3 linked regions of the Styela clava genome follow. The protein of the gene in region 2 binds, or shares a complex with, the protein of the main gene of each other region. Links are inferred from orthologs where the notes say so. Each region holds a gene or a part of one and is shown on either strand. Other genes may lie near its edges. The genes, in order: transcription initiation factor TFIID subunit 1-like, transcription initiation factor TFIID subunit 5-like and TATA-box-binding protein-like.

Region 1 (7,687 bases), on a different chromosome or scaffold from region 2:
AATAATTTATTGAAAAACAAGAATCCGGGTCAATCGTGCAATCACTTACCGACCACCAATCGCATTCACGACCATAGTAACCTTTACCACCTTGTGATTGCAATACTTCAGGTGAAATATAATCAGGAGTGCCAACGGCTGTGTCAGAACGCACCATGCCCTCCTAGAAAACAAAAATAAGGGACTAGTCATAACACAATATTGATGTACTCTAATATTTCAACTGAAGATATTTGATGAATAAAGATAAAATAAATAATGATCATTGAGAGACTGAAATCATTGAAATTTATGATTCAATTATTTCATCATTACAGGTTAGTTCACCTTTTCACTAGGAAACATTTGAAGTAAGACTGGGGTAGTTTCACAAACAATTACTTGCATAAAAATTGACAATAGCTGTTAGTGAAGATGTTTCAAGAATTTAGTTATAATAAAATTAGTAAAAAATTCCAAATAAAAAAATATTTGAATTATACTTTTGCTGGAAAATCAAAGTTCATATCACTCATTTTTTGCCAAATTCGATTCATTAAGAATATTCAAAATTGATATTCTGAACAAAATTTTAAAATAAACAACTATGCAGACACAAATATCCCTAATTCCAATAAAGAATTCAATTTACTGCAGGTGTTTGAATAGTAATTATTCATTTACCTTGTCCATACTCATGCAAGTTCCAAAATCAGCAAGTTTTAAATGTCCTTGAGCATCCAGTAACATATTGTCAGGTTTTACATCCCTGTTGAATAAAAAAGTAAGTAAATTTATTACCAAAAGAAACGTGGTTAATTAAGGATACATATTGAGTGCTAGATTTATAGACAAATATAAAAAGTTACCATGCAATCCAATTAACAATAAAAACTGTTTTTCCTTCATTTACTGAAATAATTGTATGGATGACAGCATACCAACCACAAACACAAATATTTTAAATTTGTAAAATTTTTGCTTATTGGTGATCAATTTGCTGACAATGAAACAAGATAATAGGACAAGTTCCATAAACTAATAAGCATTATAATCCACAATAAATCGAATACATTCAAGATTGTATGCATTCAATTTAGTAATATAAGAAAATTTAGGTCAGTTTTATTTGTCATTTTAATCAAGTACTATCTGATGATCAAGATAAAAAAAATAGATTTCACTTAAATCAGGCAAGGCAAAAACAGAAAATCAATAATAACAACGATTAATTTATTTTTAACAAAACTAAATTCATCGTTCATTTACTATAAATTTTTATTGATTTATGCCTCTCTTGAAAATGACCCAATTTAGAATGTCACAATACTTTATATTCCAAAATATTAGTACGAAGTGTATTTAGAAAAGTTGAATTATTTTAATTTAGCCACCGTAAGTACAAGCATGAAATAACTTGAATTGTACTTGGAATGTAATTATATCACAAGATATATAACTAACAATAGGACAATATTGAACAACACATCTGGTATGAGTCTATTTGTAGTTCACGGTTGAATATTGACAATTTCTATCAGAAAAGCAGATAGTTGCTAATTAGTAAATTCACATCACATTAAGAAGAACAAATTATAAATAAAATATTATTGATAATATCATAATGCAGTCTGAATACAATCAAACTAATTAATTTCGTAATTTAAGTTATCCTAATAAGTATATACAAAAACTATTTCACGTTTTTGAATTATATATTTCCTGACACAATCCAGAACATTATATTTATGAAGCATGATTTGACTTAAAGATTGATTATTATTGGCAATGTGCCAAGCCAAGCTATGATGAGTGTTCATAAATTCCGGTTACAATTTCAAAATAGTGGTATGAAGTCAGTTCTTAATATATCTTATTAACCAGGTTTGTTTTATTTCAATCAGTTATTTAGTTTTTTAACTTACTATTTTATACACCTTTATTTATGCCGACCATCATTTGCACGGAGCATGTTAAAGTTCTTTTACCTATTTTAATACAGGCTTCATGAACTCTCTACATCACCAAATAAATGCCCGGAATTGGGTTTTATGGAAACAACTGTCAAAGAACCCTTAATATGAGCCTTAGATCTATTAATAGGCAATTTCCACCATACCCAATACTTTTAATTACCAATATTATGGTTCCATATCGCAATAAAATATCATAATGATTTGAAAGTTGGATTACGTCATGCAGTAATACGTATAAACTTCCCATAGGACACACAACGTTGTAACAAGACTATTTATTATACATGCAATATACAATATCGGGCACGATGGACTAAATAATCAGCAGCTTTATGTTAGCCACAACAGTGGAGAAGTCATCAATATTGAATGAAACAGAAAACTGGCCAGTTTTTCAACTGGCAATATCTATTGTACAATTTTGTTTTAATAAATGTACTCAAGTGACTAAAACAAATAATAAATTTTATAATAAACTACAATGTTTGTGATTGTCGACTGGTCTTCAATAACGAATGTTTTTAAAAAATTATATATTACACAATTGAACTACCGGTACATTATGAATGGTATTAAATATAAATAACAGATTATAGTATATTATATTCAGAGTCCCTCCTTTACCATATGATTCAAAAATGAGATTGCATGAAACAAAAATGATTTGTTATATCACTGCTAACCTGATGACTAAAAATAAATACTGGTAATATAAAATACAAATAGAACATTTAAAAAAAAGTTATAGACCGAACTTTAAAGACAGTTTATCCATAGGATGTGATATTCCCTATTCAAATCACAAAAATGTTGTATTAGAAATACCAGAGTTGGCTAAATTTCACCAATACCACCCTAAGAACAATTTGGAATAGTGGAGAATGTTACTATCGATGAAGTTGCAGAATATTTGATAACATTTTCCTTCAGTAAAGTATATTCAAGTTTGTTATTTAAAAAAAACATACTCCCATATGCCATATCACATCAGGTGAATTAAATACAGCAAAATGTATGAAAACATTCTGATGTGTGGTATTAAAGGGGGATAGGTGTTGCACAAGTCTAATATATATAAAATATATATATACAAGAATCAATTCGTAAAGTTTTTATGCGGAAATATCAGAAAAAAACGGGTACTCCTGTAGTGTGTGTACCAGATTAAGGCTATGCCTTAATAATTTTATTCCGATTTTCCTTATTTTAGTTCTATTACGAGTCTGGGACTGTCTGTGTTAGTCAAGTGAATATGAAATAGACAATATGAATATAGACTCTCTCCGTTATGAGTCGTCAGTAAAAAAAAGCTTAATTAGTTAGATAACTTGCCTGTGAATGAATCCCATATTGTGTATTGATTCAAGGGCAAGAACGACTTCAGCTGTGTAAAATTTTGCCCATTGTTCAGGCACATCATAATTAGACATGAGATTGACCAGATCTCCACCAGGCATAAACTCCATTACCATATAGAGGTATTTATTGTCTTGAAATGAATACTGCAAACGCACGATCCAATCCGTGTTGGCGTGTGCCATAATGTCTCTTTCCTCCCAGAAGAAAGCAGATTCTGATCTTTTGATCTATGGAGCATTATAAAAGGAATATACCGAAACAAAAAATTATATAGATGATTGTCCATAAATTTAGATAAAACCAAAGTGGAAGAATGTCATATTTACACACAAACACAATTCACACACAATTTGGACACGAAATGCCGATAAAACTGCGAAACTTTCTCAAATATAGTAAGCTAAAATTAGAATGTGTGGTTCAACATGATAATCAGAGCAGTCATAACAATTGTGTTGCCAAGTACTTTCCATGATAACAATGCCAATATTTTATGTGGTAAGGTTCATGTCACTTGAATAAACATATTTTACCAAATGAAGATTTTATTATTAAGAAATAAATATACCGCAAAGCAATAGTAGGATATACATTGTATTTAAACACAATTGTTTCCATATTTTTCAAGTGTTTTATAATTATCCATGAATAAGACTGATCAAAAACAAACAAGGGTATAATTTAACAAACTCCATTATCGACATGCGTTCTTGAATAACTTCACCAATGACACAACTCACCATTTCAAATTTGCTCAATAACTTCATGGCATAAACTTTAGAAGTGGGTTTGTAACGAACGAGTTGAACTTCACCAAAAGCTCCTCGACCGATTGTCTTAACTACTGTGAAATCAGAAGCTCTCATCCTTATTTCATAAATTTTCTTAACAGGATGTGCGTCTGGAAATATAAAAGTTTTTTTTGTTGAAATGACTCTCACTTTGTACTCTCATCCGCAAAGCAATACAAATGAGAATAAGACACTTGACTCATTTATACAGAACTTGACATTTATGGAAAATATATTCATAACAGATTGCTGAAAAGGATAGTCTTTTTATTCAGCATTTATTTTGTCAAAGTTGGATCAAAGTTTTCCAAACGGATCTAATGCTCATAACTAAATGATTAGTTGAATTAAATACTTACATCTATTTAAAAAATTTTCCACATTCTTGTTCCTTCTCAAAGCAGGAGTGTCTAGATCCGTAACCAATGCAACGATGCCATCCTATGAAAACAAATTGAAAAATTAGAATGAATATCAAATACAATTATCAGTATAGGAGATAAAATATCCAGTTGACTACGTTAGTGAATTTGTCATATGGCATTTTGCCTAAAATAGTTTGACTTGGATTATCGTGTTGTTGCACAATATTTACTACCAATAGGCAATAGTGCATACCATTTTTTGCATTGTGTATAATGTTGTTTTTCCATCTAGCTGATTGGAGAATTTGGTTGTATTAAGGTTGTGTGATGATTACTTTCAATAGTTAAAACTGAATTAAACCCAGTTGGTTATGCTTCTTATGTGAATTTTGTATTTACAAGAATTTGGTTATGTGTAAAATACCAGTTAATCAGACCTTCAACAATGAGAAACAGCAAACTCCACAGAAAACTATGCAAATTCACTTATATAAAGAGAAAGACAATCCCACAAGAAAAAACTATAGCACAGAAGTATAATATATTAAGATATAGTAAGATAATATATTGTAAGTTTCAACTACAAGCATAATACTGATTTGATACCATGCCAAACCATGGATCATTTAAGCTAAAACCAGAAAATTATCGACAAATTCTGTAACATTTATACTGAAATTTTCAGCGATTTCATTTTTGATAGGATTGACACGTTATGTAGCCTATATTCAGAAAAGTGGTTGTTTATTTTAAGGCTTAATCAGATAATTATTACTGGTATTTATAGTAGAACCATGTAAAAAAAAAGACAAACCACAACATACTATTTTTAAAATAAGTTTGTAAAGTATTACTATTTTGTGTGTCAAAAGCTCTGATCTAGAAGGTTTTTTAATACTATTTCTAAAACATATATATATATATATATATATATAAATACAGGATCTCAAGTTGAAATAAAGTGGCTCAAAACGGGCAAAAACGCAAACTTCAAAAAGAAAGAAGTATAATGATACAAGCATATATTTACATTGCCATTGAACAACAACAAGTTGTTAACAGGTGTGCATGAATACCACAAACAGGTTAAAATAATTTAGAAAATGTATTAAACTAACTGTCGTTTCAGTGCAATAAATATATTATAATAACCCTAGCTTGTGGTTAGAAAGTATAATCCATAATATTTTTTTGAATATGTTACTGTTGGTCATTATATAAACTCCATAGTAAAGTATCATAGCAGTTCCTAAGTCATAAAGAAGGTCTCAACATCAAATTGAAAGATAAAATGTATGGCTTACATTGCATTAATAATTCATTATAATTGTGACTTTGTTTATAATAGAAAACAATACTAATAATTCCTTTTTTGAATAAGAAACTGGAAGAACTATCAAACAAACTACCATAGTTCAACTGGTATACAAACTGTTTTATTTAATACAAATTATCCAATGTTAGGTTAATACTTTATTGTATGAAATATGAATAATTGAATTTGAAAAATAAAACTAAACTAGAGAAATTAATATAAGAATGCAGTTTCAATGACCTATAGCCAGCTAAACATATACCAATTATTTAGTCCAAAATAGGATTGAAAAAATATAAGTCTTGTTGTATCAGCTATATCTTGTCAAAGGAAGGCATACCGAAACAACTTTACAATCAAAAATTAACATTTGAATAATTGGAAAAATCATCAGTATACCAGTATCAGGTAGTTTTATTTGGCAGAGTCACTTATTTTAAATGAAAAAGCCTTGAAATATTTTAGGATTTATAGCTATATTGTTACCAATTACTATCAACTATGTAGTAAAACCGGGTTCAATCTCATGCTCCATATTACATTTATAACAAAAATTTTCATTTGGCATTTTAAAAATTCACGGTTCAAAATTTGAAATAAAAATTGAAACAAAGCCCAAGTTCTGAGCCTAAGGACAACTAAATTATTCTGATTAACACCATAAAATTACAAAGAATTGATTGTGGAATTTGATCTCACTGCATAATTTAGTATGACATGAGCACTCAATTCATCACCTGTAGTAAAGCTGGACAATGACGTAATTGTGTGCCTTATATGCTTGAATAAATACATGTAGTCGAAAGTCAAATAAGTCTACAGCCAATATTAATAGATAAACCGTGCTGAATACTGTCATAATGGTCTTGGTAAGAATAGCATTATATAGTGTTGTACCTTTTTATTGTATATAACACAACAAATACCAGACTTCTTACTATTTGGTTTTTGTGGAATGTTATAATAAAAGCTAAAATATGTATGTTTGTTGATTCTGTATTTGCAAAATAGCATGAATATCATCATTTCAATGAATCTATGCATTATTTTAAATGATATTTATTTCTTTTATTTTTTAGAAAATTTACTTATTTCCAGTAAAAAACAATGTACTTTAGTGTCTCATCAACACATAGTCAATTGAGAAGCAAATAATTCATAAAACTCATTATTATAAAATCAGATGCATCAAGAATTCCACTGTATAGGTAATCTCCATTGGAACACTCAGTTGAAGATTATAACAACCATTAATCCCCAAATTGACATATTCCAAATTAAATCAATTTTCAATGATATACTATAAACCTACACACACTTAATCATTGGCATCAATTCGAGATGCCTTTGTGTGAATACCCATCAATTATCAATCAAAACTTCAATGATTAAGCACTTAAAAAGAAATGTTGTTTTTGAATGCAATAAATTTTTGATTCTGTGCTGAATACCAAAACCTTAAAATGCAGTCTGATATAATAGTCTACAAAAATACATGCCACATTTACTCATGCTAAGTTCCTACAAAGCAAAGTAGGCCAATTAAACTTTGTTTTATTTGGTTAATTATGGCACAAAGGAGGAATGGTAAAACTCTGTACAAAACAAACTGCTGTGAACTTTCAACTAGAGGTAACAATAAATAATAATAAAATGGAGAATATGAATAGAAGTACAATTAACATTGCGAACAAACTTGGAGGGTATTTGAGAATACAAAACTTTTCAAATGGCATGCATGAGCATAATTCCCTATACTGCTATTGGTCAAATCACAAAAACAATACTGTTGTGGACTGTGGTGGGTACCAGGATATGTTTGCTTGTTTCACCAAATTGACACGTAATCGTGAGTTTTCTATGCTTATTTACATGAAGTAAATCTGAAGTTTGTAACTCAAA
Region 2 (7,877 bases):
TTTCATGCAGAACATCATTAAATTTCACATTAAATAGCTCAGAAATTGAATCAATATTAAATGATGAGTGGATGCAAATGTTGTTCAACTAATTACTCGACTTGATCTACTTCATTCTCCGCAATTTTATATTAAAAGCTAGGAATATGAAGTGATCTTTACAGATACTATTATAAGATTTTGATGACTACTATATACTACACCAATTAGACTTCATTTTATGTGGTGTTTCATGCAGAACATCATTAAATTTCACATTTTTTGAAGGGAACAATGGAAAGAGTCCACTGCTGCCAAATCACTCTTCATTTATCTTCTGCTGAGGGCAAATGGAGACATTCTAACAGAAAATCTTGACATGTTCATTCCATTCACATTACTGATGGTAGATGATTTTGTTCCGAAAAACACAATAATGGGACTAAAGTGTATGAAGCACATTTTACATGAAGTCCCCCCAGCTGAAATAAGGTGGGTAAGATACAGACGGAAATAGCCAATGCTTAGAATATATAAGTTAACGACTACTGCGTTGAAATCATTCAGGTTCAGAGGGAGAGCAGAAGTGATTCATGATGCCTTGGTGAAAAAGTTGTATACCAGAGATTCTGACGTCTCCAAAGTTCTGATTTCGTGTATTATGCAATCTCTGGATTGCTTAGAATCTGAAATGATGCGGAAGCGTGGATGCAGTATTCCAAGGCATGATGAGTGCTTTGAAATTGTTCTGAATAACTTTCATTTGTCGAGTGACAATTTAGTGAAAAGGTGAATTATATTTGATTTACGAAATAAAACCATTGATAAGGATGAATTTTTAATAAACATTTAGTCCTCAATTACATTATGATTAGATCATGGGTGAAATTATTGCTAAATAAAAATAACATAATTTCTTTCCACAAAATATCAAGTATATTTATGAGCTTTCGTTAGTTAGATCACAGTCTAACTTCTTCAGATAACACAAGATATTGCTTCGTGGAAGAAGATTAAGTTATTTTTATTTATCTTCATAATACTATCTCAGTCACGCATCCTGGTACAGATCCGTAATAGAAAGTAAACAAGAAGAAAGTACCTGCAGTTAAATACCCTAGTACACCTGAAATTATTGGGTTGACAAAAAATTAGAATTTTCATCTCTTTTGAAAGTTCTAGTAACAGGGAAAGTCACTTCTCAAACTTTATATGCCAAATATTTTTAGCTTTTAGCATTGGATGATATTTGTTGTCTGCATCTATTAAACAGCTACGGCTGACCTGGTAATTCGAAACATCTTCTGTACCTTCCAGAGTTTATTCCTCTGCACTGCCTTTCTTTGTATCAAGAATGGGAATTCAAAGTATTGGTCATATTAAGAAAATTATAATTGTTCTGGATTACGGAATAGAAAGTACCGATATTCAAACAATGTTGAGCTGCATTGACGTAATTTCAAAAATGGTTGATGCCGCATGGCCAAGGTGAGTGAAGTCTTACTGATCGAATATCATAGGACTACATTTACCTGCTTGCAAGTATATGAAAGAGAATGTAGGGGGAGAATGTATGCTATTTAAACGCAAGATTAAAATCAATTATTATTCTGCTATATTGATGATAGGTATATTCAAAAACTATCCTGTACTACTAGTCTTTATCATTCTAATACAATTTGTCATTCTCTTAGACTAGAACATCACTGTGAAGCAATGTTAAGATTTCTAATAAGAGCACTTTATAACCTGGAAAATGATGATTGGAGGTGGAAAGGATGCAATGAAAATGGGAAAAAGAAAATCGTGAATGCCATCATTGACACAACGATGAAACTTTCAATGCTTTCTAAAGAACTTATCCTGGTAGGTCCATGATTTCAGGATCAAATGAATCATAATTTCTCGCACTTTTTTTAATATACCATATTGATCATTTATGCAAACAGGAGACTGCACAGATGTTAGAAGCTGAAACAGATCTGGCGTTAAGTCAATATGGCAAAAAAATCCAACAACTGATTGCCACCTCTGCTTAGTCCAGTCTATATCGTGGAGATGGTATTTCATCACATTGGGAATAGTTGCACATTTTGAGCATTGTCATAATCCGTGTTTCAAAAAGTTAGTGCCTCTCTTTTAGTTTTACTTGTACTGGGTTCAGTTTCATATTCTATTTCTAAATGTTTTCTTTTCGATGCAGATTTTGTTTCCTTCTCGGTTTCCTCTTCAGACTCTCCTTCTGATGTCAGATCTTCAATATCCTGATGAAAGAATGATATCAAGAATCATGTCCATGAATTTTTGCTAATCTCAATCATATTCTAGCTTACTGTTAGCAATTTATTTTGGCATAAGCTAGAAAATTATTAGTGGAATATACATATACAACACTGATCCGAATTCTTGAACATCAAAGATAAATAGATTCGTGCAGTTACAAGCAACTTATAGACATTTTCATATACATATGCAAGACACTGATTATTTCATCATATAGTAGTATAGCATGTCAGAAACCATAAAGGTAGAATTACAGACAGGCAAGCATAAATTCAATTGAGGCCAACATGGCCTGACTTTTGGAAAGTTAGTGTATGTATTGAGTGGCTTTATTTCATCAAAAGATACGAAAATCTATAGAGCTAACTAACGCCAAAGCACATCTTTGCAACGCCGGGAAAGGCATATTTAGTCCTGAAAATTTAGGGTAGGTAGAAATTAAACGAAACTTCATGTATTCATTGTTACTGATTACAAAATAGACAGATATAAATAAATCTCACCTCTAGATCACTTTCATCCACTTCGTCATCAGCTACATATTCCACCTCCTGTGATGAAAATAACTCAAATTTAGATTACTCAGGAAATACCAGAGCAAAAGTTTCATTTTTGAACAAACATTACCGCCTGAGTTTCTTCCTCGTCTTCACTCTCAGACTCGGCTTCATCTTTTTGTAAAGCTCTATCAAATGCAGTGACTGATACATTATAAATATCTCCATACGTTCCTTGCTTTAATCTTTCCAATAATTCTTTTTCTATTGCATTCTCCAATTGTGCAGCAACTAACGCTTTTTGCTGAAAAGATGAAATAAAAATGATTAGTTTAACAGAATTTTTCTTGGTAAGTGAATTCAATAATAAATTAGTCATACTTCCCGCCTTGCTTCTCTTCGTTCTACTTTCCGACTCAAAGGCACTAATTTTTTCCTGAAAATATTAAAAACAGATTTATCCTTTAAAACACAAGTGCAGTTTCAAGTATTTTGTGGCGTCTAGAGCTGTCGCAAATCCATAGCCGCTATGACCAATAGCGCTACTGACTTTTTAGCTGCCACAAACCAATAGCAAGCTGCCGTGGATACGGCAGCAAATCGAATACCACCAATTTTGCTGCTGAACCACGGCATGTAAATGTTGGGTAAGTTGAAACGCTTTATTTATGAATACAGTTTTGATGTATTTGGGGTTAGGTTTAGGTTCAAGTAGTTATATTTCCGCATGATAAACTAAAATATTGTACATGACTTTGTAAATATACAGGTAATAGCGCCATAAAACCATGGCAAGAGACGCCGCAGTACATTCGTGGCAGGAGCTGCCATGAAGTGGTAAGAACTACGCTTCTTCAAACATGTATGATTTTTTTCTATTCAATATCATTAATACTCAATTCGGGCTGTTTACTTTAAGAGTGTTGACTTATTTCTATGGTAGATGATTGAAGAAGACTCGCTTAGGTTGAGTTTCCCCTAATATTGCCTGACCATCAAGCCCTCAATTTGACTGTTTGGTCAATAATTAAACTTCATGCGATGCAGTAACACTTATTAAATATATTATTTGATTTTGTAAAATATTGATTGGGAAATATTTATTGAGCTACAATAAATATACTTACTGCCTTCGTAAAGTTAACTTTCGAATTCTGATCAAATATTGATATATCTTTGTGAAGCGTTGTTTACACTTATGTCTTAAAAAGTACGGCCAATATACTAAATTTTCATCAATTTGTTCCAATGCTTTTTCATAGTTTCTTGATAGCTTTACTTTTTCCCATAATCTTCCAGGAAAAGCTGCTCTTTCAATTGTCTTCATATAAAGATAACAAACACCTAGAGTAACATTTTAAAATATTTATTATTACAACATAAGGCTATTATAGGAAATGTGAAAATACTACATTACAAACCTTTCTCTTCTTTTATAGTAGCATACTGGCTGTTAGCCAACGGGCATGAGCCCCTGTTGCAAAGTCCCGTCAAATTATATTCATTTTTACAAAATCTTTGTGTTTTTGATGTGATTGCTCTGAAAAAAGATATTATAAAATGAAGCTGTTCTGAACATACTGATGGAAATGAAGGGTGGTATTCATTAGACAGAAAACACACTTACTTTGCTTTATAGGAGCAAAATTGCTTGTTTCCAATGACATCCCAAATAACCTGTAAAAAACGTTCAATAGATTGTCATGTCGTAGATTGTAAGATTATTGAAGGCATTAGGGTGACTGAAGAAAAATAAATTACTTACATCGTCGTGTTGCATCTTCCACCAACGTCAACTCGATCAAAGTCTCACAAAATTGCAATCAAATCGAAGTTGTGGCGACCCACATTATAAATAATGATATACCCAACATGTGTTGACTAAGGCGTCATAATTTTATGCCACTGGTATCGTTTTAGCGTCTTTCATGATTTCAAAAATAAGGAAATTGCAGATAACATGATTTACATGCGCAAAATTTATTAAGTTTTTTTATTTAAAAAATACTAATTAATTTAAAAATCTTTCATTCTATTTTGATTTTTTTTTGTTACCTTGTTACCTTAAAATGCCTGTGACGCGATTACGGTGCCACAAAAGATAACCTCCGGTGTTTTGCGCTCTGATTCTGTATTTCGCGTTTGATGAATGAATAGCGTTGTTTAGGGTTTACAATCCGATTGGTTTATTGCTTCGTTTCTAGTTTGTATGGACAGCTATACGGGTTTGTATACAGAAAACGGATATAATGGAATCTGTATTTGCAAATGTGCCCGCGTTACCTGTTAAAATGGAAGTCACGGAATGCATTTCTACCACGAATGAAACTAAGGTTACTGAGACCCCAACAAATGAAAATCAGAAAACACTTTTAGCTGTTCTTCAGTTTTTGAAGAAAAATAACTTGGGAACAACGGCAGCTATGCTGGAAAAGGAGTCTTCAAAACTTACAGGTAACAAAATATGTAGATTATCGCTAGTAAAATGCTGAAATCCAATACCACTTGCTGGATATTTGAATAAGTATAAGTTTATTTCGACTCCATAATCAACATAACAAACGATAAAATAAATATTTGTAAAAAAGATGACATCACAAAAATGAGAAATTGCTAGACAATGCCTTAATTTTGTAAGATGTAATTTTCCATGCGATTTTTATTTTTTATTAAATAATCGTATTTGCTACGCCGACTTTATGCATTTGCACCCCCACAACTAATCGATCGACTAACGAAAAAGTAATGATTCTCTGCTGCCCACTGACGGCTCGTTGGAAAGCTTATTTAAAGAGCTTGCAATTGGCGATTAAAAATTTTTTTTAAAAGGGGTGGTCTGAGTCACAAACCGGATAGAAAAAAGGCATTTTTTTTTCTTGGGAGTTGAAAATTCAAACCGTGATAAAAAATAGAAATATTCGCTAAATCCTTTACTGTTACCGCTTCGTGGTTGGCAAACAATAGCATAATATTGCTGTAGCAATTTCGTGATCTAACTCAAAATACTTTGGTAGATGGAAGGGATAATATGTCTTCTATTACCATCCAAAAAACACCAAAATTTGCATAAATTTCAAAAACACTCCCTCGTTCCGCCGCAAATAAAATTCCCGTCGTAAACGAAAGCGAGATTTACCACTGCTTATGTTAATCTCGAAGATGACTTCTTATCAATAAACTAAAATCCGGAAAAACTAGACCAACAGTTTGCGACCGATTGCTAAATAAAACAGTGGAGTACATCAACGTACCCGCCGCAATCTAGCGACTTTTGTCGTTGGTACGTATACGTGCCTACCGCACGGAAAGGGTTAATAAATTTGATTTATTTAACTTTACTTGTTTTTCAGGTTCTGACGGACTTCCATCTGATAGCAAAAATTTTAGTACATCTGATGTTTCATCACTACTTTCCACTTATTCCAATCAAGCTGATCCTTCAAGTTACCAAGATAGTTATAGGTAAAATAATCAAAAAAAACATATAGGATATACTTATTTAGATTCTTAACTCTATACACCCAACTCGCTCCTCGTACTTGGGCTTCGTGTTGGAGAGCTTCGCATGAACCCGTTTATTTTGTGGTAATTTTATATTCTTAGAATTTATTCATATTGCAAGGTTGCCGTTGACAAGTAGATCGAATAGTCATTTCACGGTTATTCTGTCCCTTCCAAGCAAAGACATGACTGACTATATACAGATCTCTTATTTTGATTTTATTGTGCTTTTTCTGAGCGATTTGATTGATTGCTTGACTCGAGTCATTGACTAAACTTGAGTGGGTGTCAGGTGTTTCAATTTTTCAAAGTAAAGGAAAAAATGAATGCGTAAATTAGGAGCTTTGCAAGGGAATGGTGGCAATGCTGGCAACAATATGCGGCTCACGCTCGCACGGAAGATAACAACCAATCAAAGATTTGATTCTATGTCATTGTCATTTCAGAAATTGTGATAAATAATTTTTGATTTGGACTTTCATACTTATTCTTATTTACATACTTTTGATACTATTACTACTCTTTTTATTTGTTTCTTCTATTCATTTATTTTTTTTATCTTTTTAAGGTGTTGTAGACTCGATGCCGGATCATTCCGTCCTTCACAGCACTTGTCATTTCAATATTTATTTATGACAAATTTTTGTTCTTGATTGATTGTTTTTTGAAGTGACAAATAAAATAACTCGACTCTTACGAAAAAATAGAAGCATTACCACTCTGACAGCAATCTGCGGACATAAAATGTGTCATAAATAGCCAGATTGATGACAGTTGTAGATGACAGTTATTCCACTGTTTTGCAAATTCCTCCTAAGAAAAGCTTCTATTGCTTGGTTTTATTTTCGAATAAATTCAATATTGCATATTCAAAAATAATAATTTTGAATGTATTCGAAAGAGTGAATTATTTGTTATTGTCTATGAGATTCTATCCTCTTATATTTGTAGAATGTTAAAGCAGTTCATCGAATCAAATTTGGACTCACATAAATGGGAATTAGCTCAAGTATTATATCCAGTATTTGTTCATATGTATCTAGAACTCTTATACAATAATCATGCGGAAAAGGCAAAGTTATTTTTTCTACAATACAGGTGATTAAGCAAGTTGTATAGACGGTCAATCATGTTTATAGTAGATATGACCACTTTTTAATTTTTGATTCAATTGAAGTGAATGCAGTTTTTGATCCTAGAATACTTTTATAAAAATTGCTCAAATATAATGTGAACTTGGAGTGATACAATTTGTTTCAAGCTATTTTCCAGTTGATAAATTTTTTTGGGGGTCACTAAGATGTTAGGAGAAATGAACGTAGTAATTTAGAATTATTTCCTTTTCATAAATCACAATTAAATGCATTATTTTTGCAACTTCTCCACTTTACTCAGAAAGAGGCTGTGAAATAAAAATAAAGAATATGATAGAAGAATCTCTACTTCAAACATACAATAGAAAGATATATATTTCTTCCTGTGACTTAAAATACCAAGTTAATTAGAAACATGAAACACTTCAAGTCTGCACTGTTAGGAAATTCGACAAAGCAGAAGTTCTACAATTGAGAAATTTTTCTCGGGGTTAATTAAAAAATTCCTTTCCTTATTCTTTAG
Region 3 (8,103 bases), on a different chromosome or scaffold from region 2:
AAGCAGCAGCCCCAAAACTATGAAAGAGAGAGATTTATGCTCGCAATATACGGTACCACTGATACGGTAATCGGACACGTTTAGTGGACATAACGATCGTTTTGTTGTTATCTTGTTTTTTTTGTTGTTCAACACTTTTCGGACACCTAGTTGATCACTGGACCAATTGCTTTGAAATTTTTGGTGGTTAAAGATGAAATTTTTCTCCAGAAATCTATTACTTTTATTTATTTCAAATATTTCTGTTAGCTCCGTGACATTTGTTTATGTTTGCTAAGACGTCACCGAACGTTCTGTGGTCATCGGACGCCATTTTGTGTCCTACTGTACTGCTTCGCTTTATGTGAATATAATTTTGGACACGTTTAGTAGACATAACGATCGTTTCAATATTATGTTGTTATTGTTATTTGTCTCCATCATTTTTAAAAAATCGCCTTTCTCTTCGAATACTGGACCAATTGCTTTGAAATTTTCAGTGGTTGAAGATAAAATTTTTCTCCAGAAGGCTTTTATTTTTTTTTCGCTATGACGTCATTAAAATTATCGCCATTGGGTGGCGCTACGTGCCCATATATTTGAGCATAGCTCTCTTGTGTTGTTCTTTGACACGTTTTGAAGAAATCGCTTTTCTTTTTGATTACTAGACCAATTGCTTTGAAATTTTCAGTGGTTAAAGATAAAAATTTTCCTCAGAAGGCTATTACTCTTTTTTTGCTAAGACGCCATCAAAATTATTGCCATTAGGTGGCGCTACGTGTCCATATATTTGAGCACAGCTCTCTTGTTGTAGACTGTGATCTGACGGTACGGTAAACCGTACTGTACTGCGAACAGATGTGTCCATATATTTGGGCGCTGCTCTTTTGTTGTTTTTATAATTGCCTGAGCCGCTGAGCGCAGAATTTACCAGCATTGCTTTGATTTGTTTGTATGTGTCTTGATTCTCTGTATCACATTTTCACCAATGCCAAATCAATGTAGTTTTCACGGTTTTTGACGCTTCTCGTCACCTTATCACATTACAATACACCTACACACGTTGTCATTGTATCAGAATAAATTGGTCCTTATTAGCTTGAGTATTTCATAAGAATACAACAGCCCGTAAGTTTATTACATTCGCGTATTTTTTGAGTGTTTATTTCTGGCATCCTGACAACCAATTATTATGGAATTACTGGATTGAATTATTATGGAATTGCAACCACAGTCATTTTCATTACGCACATCCACCATATCGGGGTGCTTGGCCACTACCATTTCATTTATTCCCCCTCCACATTGACGTCATATGCGCTTTAAAATTTATTTGACGTCGTAATATCATAGTTAACCTAATAATATTGTGTAGGAGAGAGAGAGAGAGTTTTTCTTTCACAAATAATGTCACACTATAAATATTTGAAGCACAGAACAAAAAATAGTAATTCAATAATAATTGGTTGTCATTATATGTTAGAATCATTATACAAGTCCGGCTAGGTCACGAGTACCGTATATAGCCAGAGATTGCGTTGTTGACTAATTCAGACTAGATTTTATTTTCGGGGTACCACTGTTGTAGTAGGTTGTATTTTTTGTCGGTTTCCCTAAATAGTAGTATATCAAATATTTTATTTTTCATTATGTCTTCCGATAAGCTTCATTTTAGTAACAATAATCAAAAATCAGTGATAGGCCGCGAGCCGAGGCCCTGAAAAACGCCTAGAAAGTGAGTTTCGTAGCGCACATCAGGTAACTACCTGAAAATGATTTTAAAATGTTCCTTAAAAATTTAGTAACAAATATTGCCTTGTTCCCACTTCCAAAAGTTGCACGTTTTACGGAAAAGAAGCTTTTACTACAAGAAATATGTGCTACGATCTGTCCTATATTCTCTACATTATCGGCAAGGAACAATGACTTCTGCAAGACGTAACAATTGAATTAAACCAGCTGTTAGCGAGTGGATGAATATTAGGTATTACTGCTCGACCTTGCGCTGAGTTGGGCAGCCTTTCCATAGCCCTGTTTAGTTATTATTAGTTAAGTTATGCTAAGACGTTGTTGAAAAATGTATAAGTAAGTTATTAAACACTTGTAGATCCTTACCACGGATATGGGCCGTGAGACGAAACCATGAAAACGCCCAGAAAATGAGTTTCGTAGCGCACATCTGGTAACTAAATAAATTCTTCAGTTTTGTGTGAAAACGAACATAATGAACGCATTACAGCTTGTTCCACAATCCTGGTGCGAAATTGAATATAAGAGGTTCCCGGAAATTCAATAACCATAAGTTTACAACACATACATAAGAACTATACAATTCGAGAGCCCTACAGCACACTAACACAAATGTATTCCTGTAATGTTTTGCCTGACCAAAATCGGACTTCCTCAGTCAATCATAATTTATTAGGTAGATTACGAAAAATATGGCATACATGTAACCAACAACAAAAAATACTTTAATTGTGTGACAGGAGTCGGGAGTGACCTCGAAAGCAGCGACACCAACAACGCTGATTCACATTTGCGAATAAATTTTATGTAATAACCACAAGCAGTTTACAACAAGAACAGCATGAAAAGCTACATCCATTTTATAGAAGCTATCAAACCTATTTATTTTTTAGCAATGAAGTCACAAATTAACATCGTGAGCACGAAAACACAAATAAATCAGTTATTTCTCACTTAGAAATTTACCGCAAGTCAAGAAAATTAAACGAATGTACAATATGTACATAACATAGTGAACAGAAATATTACAATTCACAATTAATCTTTTTTAGTTTATGTGGTTATGTATTTGAAAAGGCAATAATATTTCTAGAAACAGGACTACGACACTAACAAATGTCCGAAAAAACAAACAAATGTATGAGTATGATACTTATTAAATCAACTGTAATATCTAATTCACTTTCTTCTGAATTGTTTTCGAAATCCACTATCTCAAAAATCGACTTTTCCTCTATAGGTGTACTGTGATTTCTGCAGTCAAAACAAAAACAAAAATCTGTGCAATTTAAGTTGATTTTGGCACACTTTCATAAATTATTTTGACTATTTTTCTTTGCAGTTTGCCAACTCAAGAACTGATTTGAGGGCCACATGCTTCTTCAGTGAATCATTGTTGGGTGGAGAGTATAATCCTTATGTTTGACAGTGTTAAATAGACGTGCCCTGGTATCATTTACATTCTTCATATCCTCTTCAAATTCCTCAGCTTTATTTATTAATGCCTCGTTAACCTCAAAAGATCTTCATAGTCGAGGGAAATAAATGAATTGAAAATCTCAATGAAGTCTCCAACATGAATTTGATGGGCAGTTCCAATTGCAGAAAAGTGCTAAAGTATTTCAATATGAATAGCCCATCTAAGCTGTTTGCAACTATTATGATTCTCATATACCTTTAAGCTTCAAGGCTTCTTGTTTAATCCATTTTATAGCACTGATAGCAGCAGGGATCAGAGCCTGCGTTAGGTCGGATTGGTGGAACATTGCCGTTTTCTTTTGTAGTACAGTATCTAAAATAAGGAAGAAAATAATATTTGGAGCAGCATGATTTTAAAAATACCCCTAAATACGGTACTAACTAATACCTTGAATATATAATGCATTTTATCTGATGTACTAAATGAGCGTATACCGGTATATGCTCATTGCATGTACTACAGTCCAGCAGTGTTTGCATACCATTACTAGACTATATCTACACTAAATTTTGATATATCACAGTCTGAAATGTCCTATGACAGTATGAGTATGGACTATAGACTATATTTTGAAACATCAACTGTTTGTCTACAACTTGATTTCTCACCTCTCAATCGTTTCCAATGCTACCTTTCTTTCCACTCCGGCATAACTTATCATTGCTTCCCAGGTTCTTGTCGACTCTATGAATTTAGATTTAGACCAACCGACATTAGGAAAATTGATTAATTTCTTCTCTTTCACACAACCGTGCATTACAGAAACAGCCATTCATTTCTATTTCCAAATATGCTGTGGCCTATATAGTAGTATAAGTCTGCTGAATAGTCAAAAAGAGTCATTAAATTAATCATAAACATTTCATGCAAGCCAGAAAATATCGTTGTTTGTGACATATTATTCTAGGTCTAGCCTTCCTTGGAGTTACCGCACCGTACCTATTTAACAACGTCTTATGAGCTAGTGCTCAACTGAAATTGCTTGTTATGGTAAGGATATACAAGTGTTTAATATCTTACCTATACTTTTCAACACCTCCTTAGAATAACTGAACTAATATTACCGGTAACTGAAAAAAACTATAGAAAGGCTACCGTACTCAACGCAAAAGCGAGCAGTTGTAGTACATCTGATATTCATCCGACCACTGGGTCTCCACCTACAGCTGACTAACTTGACTGTTACGTCGTGCAGAAGTCTGCGTTCATTGGCCCATGATACCGGAAAAGCAGAGAAAATAGGACAGATGGTAACACATATTTATTGTAGTAAAAGCGTCTTTTCTGTAAAACGTGCAACTTTTGGAAGTGGGAACAAGGCAATATTTGTTACTAAATTTCTAAGGAACATTTTAAAATCATTTTCAGGTAGTTACCTGATGTGCGCTACGAAACTGAAAGATAAATGGCCTCGGCTCGCGGCCTATGACGAAAAAACTGCGATAGACTGGGGCACAAGGCTATAATTTGCTTTCAGTTCCCATACACGGCACATGGCTAACTATTTTACTAAAAATAATGCTTTGAACCTGTAAACCACTTTAGCTCTCAAACACTATTAAGCTATCAATGCATGCTGACTGATTTTATTTTAAAATTAACACGTATTCAATTGTTTATTAAGTGTGCGCGTGTAGTATTTAGAAGCTTTGTGTGAAACAAAACTGTTGGAGGTAAAAAAATTTTGTTCAAAAAGTTTGTTTAGTCTCAATCTATACAGTACGCATTAGCTATCGAGAAATTTTGAATAATACATAAACTTATATATCATTTTAATTTTTACATATTATTTTTAATAAATTGGAATTTAATATCACTATGAAAAATAAAGGAAATGACGCAATAAAAAAGTTGAATGATATTATTTCACTCCGCTTGGGGCGCTGTCATTCATTTTTGACGTCGTCGCTGTTCGTATCTTCGTTGTTTGTGACTGTGTAGGTCACTACTCTTGCTTGAGTTCGAAAGGCGGTGTTTCCTAACTTCCTGAATTTTTACTGCCTTACGATGAATCCACAGCGAGTCATTCCAGGCACTATTCCACATGGAGGAATATTACAACAAAGGAGTGTTAGTGGACAACAACGGCCTTTGATTTCTCAGGCAAATCCACAATTATCACAAAATCAGGTAAGTGAATCACTGAATTTACATCCTTACCTGGTGAAGGTTTGCAATACCATTATTGTACTGCTTTGTCTACTTGCCAATGAACAATATCTATAAATTCATTATAACTATTGGTGAATACGTAGATATAGCCTAACTGCAGAACTGGTTGATATTTCAGTACCGTCTGTATTTAGGCTATTGTTCTATCAAGAATGGATATTCCAGGGCAAGTCACTGTCAGATTCAGTAATTGCTTACCAAATTAGACATGTATTTTGCTTTATATTCAGGCTGGAAGTTCTGGATTAAGTTTGCCAAATCCAAGTGGATATAACGCTGTGAGTCATCACCAACAGCCACCAAGAGGAATGTATGGAAGCCATCCAATGTATGGAGCTCCATCGCATCAACAAAATACACAACCTGGAGGTTTGTTAAGTCTAATATTGTGCTCCAACTGTACACTTCGTTTTTTCACATGCCTCCGATTTGATTGCTTTATATGCGATGGCTAATTGAATGATCAAATATCTGAATTTCAATGTATGATTGCTAATCCTAGTCGGCCATAAAGTGGCATAGTCTACTTACCTTGCAAAATGAACTGCAATAGGTTCCTTGCAATAATTTGCAATTTCCTTGCTTGTAATAGCATATGTCGTGTCTTGTTTTTAGGTGTACAGTTGTGTTTTATATCCCCAGATAATGTGGGACCCACAATACCATATTTTTGCTAGTGTAACCTTACCTTATGCTTCTATGCCTGGGTATTCATTTATTTTGATTTCACAAAGGCAGTATTGCTATACCAAAATTGAATTTTCACCATTTTTTGATGTATGAGTAATAAAATCCTCTCTCCTTGTATCAATTGGCCTTCACTATTTGTTCGTCTGTAATAGACCATGTTCCTGCAAGCTATTGTAAAACTAATTGTGGTATTTGTATTATAAGGCATCAAGGAGTAACGATTGATATCATTCCTTTCATTAGCATCCAATCAACACTTTGTTACTTTGGAAAGTCAAAGGTCACATCGTCAGAACGAAGATGAACGATCAGATGCTCAACAGCACAGAACATCAGTTGCAATGAGTCCAGCACCTTTATCCAATCTCCAAGTATGTCACATGTATGTTACAGAAAATCAGGTCTTTACTTACCATTACTTGTGTCTTATGATGAGTATATTTTTTTCTTCCATCAAACCCAATGGTATTATTTTGACAATAGGGCAGACCATATCGAAATGATTTGTTTTATATTTCCTTTATTTTGAACAGGTCCCCACTCCTAGCGCATTGAGTAATTATCATGCGAACACTCCTGGTTATCCCTTGAGTGTGAATGTAGCAACACCAATGACTCCTCGAACTCCTGCAGATTCTGGGGTCGGACCACCAATGTTACAGTAAGTATATGGTTTGATTGTTCTGTGTCATATGTTAAATTACTTTGGAAGAAATTCTGTGGAATATTTGATACATGTAGTAATGATGTAAAATATATTTCATGTGGACTTGCAAAAAAAAAAATAAAGACTCAAACATGATAGGTGATGTTATTATTTTTCTTACTTTTCAGAAATATTGTGTCAACTGTAAATCTAGGATGTAAGTTGGATCTCAAGAAAATTGCCTTACATGCTAGAAATGCTGAATATAACCCAAAGGTAAGGGTTCACTTATTTTATTTAGCCCAAAGCATCTTTGATACTGATATAAAACATGATTACCTGTAGTTCTTCTATTATGGTCGGTTGTTTAGCTATACAACTTACCTACCAGTAAGCTGACAAAAATTCCAAAATAATGTAAATATGTATTTTTAGCGATTTGCTGCAGTAATTATGCGAATTCGTGATCCGCGGACAACTGCTTTAATATTCAGTTCTGGCAAGATGGTGTGCACAGGAGCTAAAAGTGAAACTAATTCAAGATTAGCTGCCAGAAAATATGCGAGAGTTGTACAGAAACTGGGTTTTCCAGCAAAATTTTTAGATTTTCGAATACAAAACATGGTAGGAAGTGTTGATGTGAAGTTTCCAATTCGATTGGAAGGCCTTGTACTAACACACGGACAATTCTCAAGGTTGGTACTTAAATGAATCTGATGGAATTTTTCATTTTAGAGACCTATCTTTCTTTATATATGCATTGGAAATTGTAGATCTGCCAAGTTGTGAACGTTTGAAAATGGTTACAATCAGTAGCCTATACCAGGGCTACTCAACTATTTTTACCGAGAATCGGCATACAAAACTTCAAAAATATTTGGGCATCCTTATTAAACCCGCACTTCCTCGACCGACTAATGATTATTAGCTAATCAAGAATATTTATTATGGCATTATAGTTCTTTTCATATATATTTAAATCTATGAAAAGTGATATTATAAAAGGAAAACTTCAATAGTGGGGCTCATGATCCAAAATAAAGAATTCGTCGCGGTCCGAATCTTCGGACCGCCAGTTGAGTAGCACTGGCCTATACTTTCTATAATTTATGAAAACCTTCTAGGAATGTTACATAAGTTAACACATACATCGTGGAATCTGGGCACTTGAACATAGAATTTCATTTTACAGCTATGAGCCTGAACTCTTTCCTGGGCTGATCTACAGAATGGTGAAACCTCGCATTGTACTTCTAATCTTCGTATCTGGCAAAGTTGTACTCACTGGTGAGTGTTTCCCATACTACAAGTTATCTTTTAATCATATAACATATTCTAGGGATTATTTTAAAATTAAACTATTCTCTTCAGGTGCAAAAGTGAGATC

The links.
Region 1: transcription initiation factor TFIID subunit 5-like (region 2) and transcription initiation factor TFIID subunit 1-like share a complex: the UniProt entries of both Caenorhabditis elegans proteins name them as parts of the TFIID basal transcription factor complex. The link is inferred for Styela clava from reciprocal best matches to the Caenorhabditis elegans genes taf-5 and taf-1.
Region 3: transcription initiation factor TFIID subunit 5-like (region 2) and TATA-box-binding protein-like share a complex: the UniProt entries of both Caenorhabditis elegans proteins name them as parts of the TFIID basal transcription factor complex. The link is inferred for Styela clava from reciprocal best matches to the Caenorhabditis elegans genes taf-5 and tbp-1.

Annotation. Positions count from the first base shown.
Region 1 is NC_135257.1:9,180,711-9,188,397, forward strand, and holds the start of transcription initiation factor TFIID subunit 1-like, read left to right. Parts: upstream 1-4,606; 5' UTR 4,607-4,789; intron 4,790-7,687. Other genes in the region: rho-associated protein kinase 2-like, read right to left, coding at 50-163, 664-748, 3,288-3,541, 4,055-4,215, 4,465-4,546. UniProt on the Caenorhabditis elegans protein: The TFIID basal transcription factor complex plays a major role in the initiation of RNA polymerase II (Pol II)-dependent transcription.
Region 2 is NC_135258.1:9,324,852-9,332,728, reverse strand, and holds the start of transcription initiation factor TFIID subunit 5-like, read left to right. Parts: upstream 1-4,867; 5' UTR 4,868-5,008; coding exon 5,009-5,213; intron 5,214-6,109; coding exon 6,110-6,221; intron 6,222-7,211; coding exon 7,212-7,358; intron 7,359-7,877. Other genes in the region: TELO2-interacting protein 2-like, read left to right, coding at 268-471, 547-768, 1,297-1,467, 1,674-1,845, 1,929-2,018; protein MAK16 homolog, read right to left, coding at 2,097-2,243, 2,766-2,813, 2,890-3,063, 3,141-3,195, 3,887-4,103, 4,181-4,299, 4,387-4,436, 4,525-4,539. UniProt on the Caenorhabditis elegans protein: The TFIID basal transcription factor complex plays a major role in the initiation of RNA polymerase II (Pol II)-dependent transcription.
Region 3 is NC_135253.1:12,137,326-12,145,428, reverse strand, and holds the start of TATA-box-binding protein-like, read left to right. Parts: upstream 1-5,088; 5' UTR 5,089-5,215; coding exon 5,216-5,338; intron 5,339-5,610; coding exon 5,611-5,749; intron 5,750-6,313; coding exon 6,314-6,441; intron 6,442-6,603; coding exon 6,604-6,731; intron 6,732-6,904; coding exon 6,905-6,992; intron 6,993-7,151; coding exon 7,152-7,411; intron 7,412-7,908; coding exon 7,909-8,003; intron 8,004-8,087; coding exon 8,088-8,103. UniProt on the Caenorhabditis elegans protein: The TFIID basal transcription factor complex plays a major role in the initiation of RNA polymerase II (Pol II)-dependent transcription.